Linked DNA regions of Kluyveromyces lactis. The protein of the gene in region 2 purifies or fractionates together with the protein of the main gene of each other region. This does not show direct contact. Links are inferred from orthologs where the notes say so. Each region holds a gene or a part of one and is shown on either strand. Other genes may lie near its edges.

What was found. The genes of interacting proteins can lie anywhere in the genome.
Region 1: the proteins of POB3 (region 2) and VIP1 purify together in Saccharomyces cerevisiae (affinity purification with mass spectrometry; 3 studies listed by BioGRID). This does not show direct contact. The link is inferred for Kluyveromyces lactis from reciprocal best matches to the Saccharomyces cerevisiae genes POB3 and VIP1.

The regions. Positions count from the first base shown.
Region 1 is NC_006038.1:251,076-255,487, forward strand, and holds the start of VIP1 (inositol polyphosphate kinase VIP1), read right to left. Parts: upstream 2,830-4,412; coding exon 1-2,829. Other genes in the region: rRNA-processing protein UTP21, read left to right, coding at 3,372-4,412. UniProt on the Saccharomyces cerevisiae protein: Bifunctional inositol kinase that acts in concert with the IP6K kinases to synthesize the diphosphate group-containing inositol pyrophosphates diphosphoinositol pentakisphosphate, PP-InsP5, and bis-diphosphoinositol tetrakisphosphate, (PP)2-InsP4.
Region 2 is NC_006038.1:444,612-448,339, reverse strand, and holds POB3 (FACT complex subunit POB3), read right to left. Parts: upstream 2,209-3,728; coding exon 541-2,208; downstream 1-540. Other genes in the region: DAK1 (dihydroxyacetone kinase), read right to left, coding at 2,651-3,728. UniProt on the Saccharomyces cerevisiae protein: Component of the FACT complex, a general chromatin factor that acts to reorganize nucleosomes. The FACT complex is involved in multiple processes that require DNA as a template such as mRNA elongation, DNA replication and DNA repair.

The DNA.
Region 1 (4,412 bases), about 190 kb from region 2:
AATAAAATCGAAGAGAACCTTAGAAAGCTTGAACAATTCCCTTAATTGAATGAACTTCGGATCATCGAATGTGGAATTCGAAGAACGGGGTGATTTGGATCCGCTTTCAACACTTTCAAGAACCCATCCAAGAGATCCGACACTATTCGAACTTTTTGAATTAGAGGAAGATTGGTTAGTCATTTGGGCATTAGAAGAGTCTGGGATTTTGAAGTTGTTTCTAGCTAAAATATTGATGGGGTACCTGTCAACCAAAGAATGATGACAGACCTCTTCGTTTTCAACTTCAGTATCATCATCAGGCATGAAGATGTGCTCTAAAAACTGTCTGTTGTGAAGAGCATCGTACTTCATAGTATCATATAATTCACTAATCTTGGATGGATCTACCTTATCCACAGTAACAAACTCTTTGAACAGCTTATCCCAACGCTCCTTGAATAGCATTGAATCTTCTGCACAGCACCAGCATGTTTGCATTTCTTCAACGTTTTTTGTAGCAAAGTTGTGATCCATGATTTTTTTATGGTAGTTCATTAAATCAACAACTCTCTTTATGACTAAGTAAGGTTCAGGCATCTTAGCAGGCCAAGCAAATTGAGGTGGTGCCTCCTTCCCCATTCTTAATAATGGTTTTAGTTTCTTTTTCACCTTATCCATAAGGTCTTTAGCTGCATTGGAGTCATCTAGCAAGTCTTTTCTTATACTGATCTCGTCGCTACTAATTTCATCCGCACCGAATAGAGCTGTGGCCCATATTTGGGCCGAAACTAGAACCCTCCTTTCGGAAGAAGAAAATATCTTGATGTTGTGCAAGATGTTCTTGTTTAACAAATCAAAGTCTTGTCTCATCTGCTCACCTAATTCTTCAGCTTGGAAATGAGCGGAGTGTGTTGGCTCACCACCCCATTTGAGAATGAATTGAACCTTCTCCACTTCGTTGTCTTTGTTCAGAACTGGTTTTAATTGAATCTTAGTTCCAGGAAAACTGATTTTTTTTTCCAAAGCGTTTGCTAAGACAGCAAGTTTCGCTGGATCTTCAGCATTTTCCTCTTGTGCAATTTTGAGTGCTTGCAGAACAATTTGCAAGTCATTGATATTTCTTATGACTACTTCTTCTTTGTGACCTTTCAATAAAGACAAAAATATCGGAGAGGTAAACGAGTGCTTGAGTTTCTGTTTTGGTGTACGGTCTGCATGACGGATAACAGTAACTAGCCCCTTAAATACCCATTTTTGAGTTTTCTCCTCTTGAATTGCAGGAAGGTTCCGCTTTTCTAGGTCCATCAATTTTTTGGCGTTGTAGAAGGTATCTCTCAAAATTTTGGCACAGGCATCATAGTATTCTGTGTTATCTTTGACAAATGAAAACCCATTAACATCAATGACATAACTCTTGCCCTCAACACGTAATAAATCGAAACCACAGATCATTTGAGCGAACGTCTTCGACACTTGACGAGCCATTTCTTTTTCTTCTGGAGAAAGTTCAGTAATATATCTAATTTCCTTTCCGTGAGTGTTTCTGCGCACAATACCATCGACTACAGGGGATTTTCTGGTTTCAGCATGACAAAAAGTTTCACCTACAGTGTATGCTTTCACATCTTCGAAATTATCGGTATCCATGAATTTTTCGTAGATGTATGAACCTTCAGTACGAGGTTGAATCAAAGTAGGGTCAAATTCGGAAGATTTATTACCGACCTTTCTGAATAATCTACGCCCACCGCCTCCGTTTTTCGAATGATAATAGATGTATATATTGTGATCTTCACCATCCACAGGTTTTTCAACGAATGGTTTGGTCATCACCTTACCCTCAACTTCCAAGGTGTCATCGTCCACCATTCTCCAGTTGGGTTCTTGAACAGTTGAAACAATAACTCCACGTTCGGCAAGCATAGATTTCAGTTCATCATCAATTTTGGGACCACCATCTCTTGTAATTTCCAATCTAGGAGGGGTAGGTACGTTGCTTGCCGCCAGCAACCTGAGACACAACCTTCTATCCCACAATACTTTTTGCATAATCAAATCATTAATGATATATGGTTTTCTTAACTTGACATATTTGATAGCCTTTTCTAGAGGGAACCCATTGGAAAAGAATGATATTAGAAAGTCGCAAGTAGGCCAGTTTTCAATGCTTTCATCCAATATAACTTTATCGCCAAAAATTATAGTCTCAAACTCACCGTGTTCAATTAGTCTGTTTAAGATATGTCTGCATGGCTTGGATAACACTTTCGCATCCATGGCACAAACACCAATTTTACCAATCTTTGGTAGCTGAGGCTTGGACGAGGAAGTTGAAGCTTTCCTCGAAGAATTTGTCGAACTTGGAGTTGTTGATCCGTCAGTGTTGGTTGTGACAGCTTCATTAGAGACTAATGCTTGCGGAATGAAGGGGAATGCATGAGGTTCTTCCAGCATAGGAGATGGACTAGGCGATCCTTCCAGAATAGCAGAAACTGATGCTGATCCACTTTGGTTACTTTTCAGTCTTTGAAGCTTGTTACCATTCATGCTATCGAATGAGGTGCCTAGGACACTGGGAGTCATATGACGACCTGTCGAACCAGTAGAAGAAATACTAAGCGTTCTGACGAGCTTATTTGTCTCATCATCATCATCAGAGGTAAAACCAGCAGGTGGCAACTTCAACGACTTATTCTCACTAGAAGAGGTCTTCGGCGTGAACCCTTCAAGGATAGGAGCGATCGATTCCATAGCCTTTTTCGTATTCGAATCTAAAAACAGTGGAGGCATGGTATTTCCGTTGATTGCCTCTTGACCCTCATCAGAAATTGAACCTGGAGAAGACATGACTGGCAGTTCTGCAATTTGATTATAACCAATGCTGAAACTTCAGTTAAAATTATTTTGTAGATCGTTGCAATTAATCGATTTCTGTTATAAGCGGATGCATGGTACGATTATTCCCCATGTGTTTAATTTTGTATATAAATTTATATGTGAAGGATAATAGTGAAAACTTGATAGAAAACTGTGAGTAATTCTGAAGTAAAGACCAGTATCTAAGCAACACCTCCATGTGTTTCGCTAGTGAGATTTCAGACTGTGGTATGGTTACTATCTAATGGCATCTAATGGTGAAGTTACATAGTATCTTCTCTATCCAAGTCTAAGAATCACATTTGCAGGTTGATCCCCCTTATGTGTCACGTGATATTCTGATTTCTTTTTCTGTTTCAGCGATGAAAATTTCGAAGCTCGACGTTTTAAAGAAGCGATGAGATGAGATGAGATGAGATAGATACCTATCGTCAGCAGCTAATTACTGGATTCGCTTGTTGTTCAGTTAATTAAGCGATTGCATAAAGTCACAGAACAGTGCATTAGCAATCATGACAGTGGATGGATCGTTAAAGAAACGAAGAGTTGGTTCTTCCGGCGCTGTTAGGAAACATGCTTCCAGAATATTTTCTCCGTATAGAATTGTAGGTAATGTATCTACTGGAGTTCCTTATGCGATTGGTACCCTAGGTACGACCTTCTACATTGTGACTTCTGTTGGTAAGTCGTTTCAGATCTTTGATGCCAATAATTTGCATCTGCTATTCGTTTCAGATAAGGAGACAGAGGGAGACATTACTTGTTTGGCAGCGCATTTTCATTACGTTTATGCAAGTTTTAAGAATAAAGTTGGGATCTATAAGAGAGGTAAGCTAGAACATTTGATTGAATTACCTGATCCAAATACCGTGGTGACCAAAATTAACGTTTTCGGTGAATATTTGATTGCTTCTACAGATAATAATGTTGTTTATATCTATAAGAAAAATTCCCCATCTGATAAATTCGCTACTGAATTATACACCAATTTCACCATTGGTAAGTTACAAGGTGGTGATATTGTTGATTTGGTGCATTTACCAACATATGTTAACAAGTTGCTCGTTGTGACTAAGTCTAATTTCACCTTGTTTAACGTTCGGACCGGAAAACAATTGTACACTTCCGATGAGTTCCCCGATGAGATCACCACTGCTGAACCTGCACCTGCTTTAGACATCGTTGCCTTTGGTACATCATCTGGTGAAGTTATTTTATTCAATTTGCGTAAGGGTAAGAAAATCAGAACCATTAAAACGCCGACGAGAATTTCTTCAATCTCTTTCAGAACGGATGGTGCTTCTCATATCTCAGTAGCATCAACCAGTGGTGATTTGATCTTTTATGACTTAGATCATCGCTCACGTGTTCAAGTGTTAAAAGGCATTCACAAGGAAGTGAATGGTGGTGTTGCAAGAGCATCATTCTTGAACGGTCAGCCGATCGTTGTCACTTGTGGTGGTGACAACCAGTTAAAAGAGTTTGTTTTCGATCCATCCTTATCGCAAGGTGACTCTGAAGTGGTCATTCAACCAGCCAGATTATTAAGGTCA
Region 2 (3,728 bases):
TTCATGCTGAGTTCAAAGTCAATTCCGACCCTTCATTGTCGTTTAGCTATGAATCTTTTCTTATAGTGAAAAAGAAACTATTCCCGGACAATTCGTCAACTCCAGGAATCTCTATGATATATTCTATAGTTAAGGTACCGTCTGTAGCTATCATACTAATATCTAATATACCTCGAATGTATGAAGCGAGTTATCTTGGATCAAAATTTCTTTGTGCATTCATTTCATCATTCTAGTTCTTGATTTAAGGATCTTTCACCAGAAGTCATAGAATAACTCTTACAGAACCATTAAATGATTGAAGCATGAAAAAAGCAGTCGATACTTTTACGGGCTTAGCAAAATTATCCTTCTCTCAACCCTTTGAAGTTTAGTTCTCTGGATGGGACCCTTATTCTTTTGTCAAGCCATTTAGATGTACTAAAAATTAAAGAACTAGTCAATCAAACAAAAGAAAGACACATTATTCGACAAATACCGCGAGGAGTGTATATAGTTTTTTATTTATTTATTTGTACTAATACATGATATATGAGTTTTTCATTCCAACTTGGCTTTCTTGGAAGGTCTTTCAGACTTTGAGGTTTCACCTTCTGAATCGGAGGCGGATGCTTCTGAATCAAATTCTTCAGCGACATCGTCATCTTCGTCGGACGCATGGAAATCTTCATCTACAGATTCTTCATCCTCACCTGCAGAACCCATGTTAATATCTACATCATCATCATCGCTGTCTGAGCCGAAGGCAGTCTGCAGTCTCTGTTCTGCTTCCTTATCTTCGTTCTTTACCCTCAAGTTTTTGGACCTCAAGAATGTCTCTAGAAGTTGTTGTTCCTCTTTAGAAATATTAGCAAAAGTAGTAGTACCTCTATTGGCACGCATAACAACTTCCAAATCGAATGTTCTGGCTGATGTAGATGTCTGACCAGCTCTTGAAATATTGACCGCAGCAATATCTTGGAAGGGTATATATAGGGTTGGTTTCGTCAAGAACAAAAACGCATTGTCCAATGGGTATAAGTGGCCTTCATTGACTTTGTATGAACAGGATACCGCGCATTGGTCATACTTAGACTTGTATTCACCAGGAACAATGACTCTTCTTCCTGTCAAACCCTTTAAGACATGACTTAGTACAATGTGAGTTTTAGCATCGTATTGTTTCTTTAGTTTATCCTTGTAAAGCTTTTCGAACTCATCATCTTCCACATTTAGTTGGACTTCTGTTTCCTCGTCCTTCTGGAATTGTAACACCAAGAATGGGTAGGATGTCTGACCTTGACGGATTGGTGGATCAATCGATAAAACCATCAAGTAATGGATGTCGTCAGCTTTTGGCAAAGAGAAGATTCTGTTTATTTGACGATGTTGTAACTTGTACTCATAAGTCTTACCTCTAAGTCTGATAGAGTTTTTGTAGATATCAATGTCGTAACGGCCTCTTGGCGTAGTGAAGAACAGATCCTGGAAAGAAATGATGGCATCACCAGAAATTTCACCGATATCTGCCTTAGATCTCAATTCTTCGTAGAAATATTCTGCTAAAGTCTTCTCTTCTTGAACGTCTGGTTCTTCACTACCCTCTTCCGTCTTAACCTCCGACTTAACACCGTCTTCTGCTTCTGCTTCGTCCTTTACCATGATTTGATCTTGATCTTCATTTTCTTCAACTGTGCCTGGAACATATAACCTCATTTCAACAAGTTCATCACCTGCAGGATTATATGCCTCATTTTGGGTGTCAAATTCTAATGCAATCTCATTTTTTGCTGTTAAATTAGTGTTATTGATGTGCGTGTAAGGGATTTCAAAAGTTGGCTTACCGTTCAATGAAAAAACCATTTCGTTTCTAGCTAAGTCCAATTTACCCCAATTCCAACCACGTAAAGAATGTTCCCTGTGCTCTAATTGCATGTTGAATCTACGTTGGAAGTCATTCTTCAATAGGTTGAAATCCTCTTGTTGGAACCCATCCATTTGAATCAATCCCTTATTCTTAGTACTAATTTTCAATTCGTAGCCTCTACATCCTCTACTCCATTGAACGGAAGAAACCTCATCTGCAGCCAATAGCAAAGGTTCATTATTTTGAGTAGAGGCTGACCCACCTGTAGCGGATGCCTTCCAACCAAGACCTCCTTCAGCTAGACGGAAACGTCCACCGAGCTTGGATTGGTTGTAATAAATTCTATCGAAATCTGTACTCATTCTCCACTATCCCAATATAAGAAATAAAAAGTAGGTATCCAAGACGAAGATCACTAGATTTCAGTAATACTGACCTGTCTAACGTAAACTATGGGCTAACAACTCTGCCTACCGTTAACGGTTTCATATGTCTTCTTATTTGTTCATGTTTTAACAACATCTTAAACACTTTGGCGATTTTTCATTTTCATTTCTAGTAAAGTTTCCAATTCGCGTCACGTTGACAAGAGGTAAGATGGGGGAGTGAACGGAAAAGAGACAGTTTTTACACACGAAGAACTATCAGGTCGAGGCCCACCCCCCTGTTGCCGGAGGAACAATGTATGATACTGCAATTACCGCTAGGTCATAAATTTGGTTAATGTAGGAAGCTGTATATAGTTTGTTATAAAATAATAACTAGGTGGAAAGAATAAAGGAGGCAGCTCATTTGAAAATGAATCTACAATTTGGAATCAACACCCCTGAGGAATTCGACCAAACCGATAGCTCCTGGGTCCGGAATTGCTTCAGTGTCTTCCACGTAAGATGCACGGCCGAACTTGGCTTCTAAGTTTCCTGTAGATTCTGCACCTCCTTCCGCCTTGGAAAAGGCCTTATGGAAGTCCTGAGTTGAACTAAACTCTTTCACGAATGGCTCCAAGGCATCGATCATAGTAGAATCACCTGGCCTAGCTCTAGTATATTTACACAATGTCTCGTATGCAACTTCTAGCGATTTGGCGAAGGCTTCTTTGTCCACCGCATCATTTTCTCCGCATTGTTCAATAATTCCTTTTGAAAGGCCCGAAATGAATATAGAGTACAAACCACCGGATGTACCACCCATTGCGGATTCAATATGATCAGAAATTTCTGCAAGGGTCTGAGACAAATACTTGGAGGATATTTTATCCAAGTTTTCAGTGATTGCCTTAGCGCCAGCTACTAACGTATAACCACAGTCACCGTCACCAACTTGGTTATCCAAATGTGTAATATGAGGTTCACTTTTAATCAATTGATCGGCACCTGCCTTCAACAGCTCCGATAATTTCTCGAAGTCGTATGTTCCAGCCTTTTTAACGTCAATAACATCCTCGAGAATACCCTCGTCATATGTAGGAGATTTACCCATTTCGACATCTTTTATTGGCCATGCTGGCGCCTCTGTATGGTCGTTTAATAAGTCAAGCACAGATTTTACTTCGCTGAACTCCTTCTTGATAGCTCCAGATGACTTTGACGCATTGAACAACGTGATACTGAATCCATTTCCATTGAAAGATGTCATTAAAGTTCCGCAAATACTTTGAACTGGAGTAATGTCATAATTCTTTTGTAAAAAAGATTTCGTGATATCAACGATGGCAGTTAAGATGAAGTTAGACACACCACCTAAATTGTTGACAAGGAGAACTACCTCGTCTTTTTTATCAAAAGATACAAAATGTCTGTCTTCATCCTCTGAATCAAGTAACTTGGGTAGCATATATTTCTCAATCAACTGCTCCAAAGGTGGAATGCTGTCCAAGACTTGA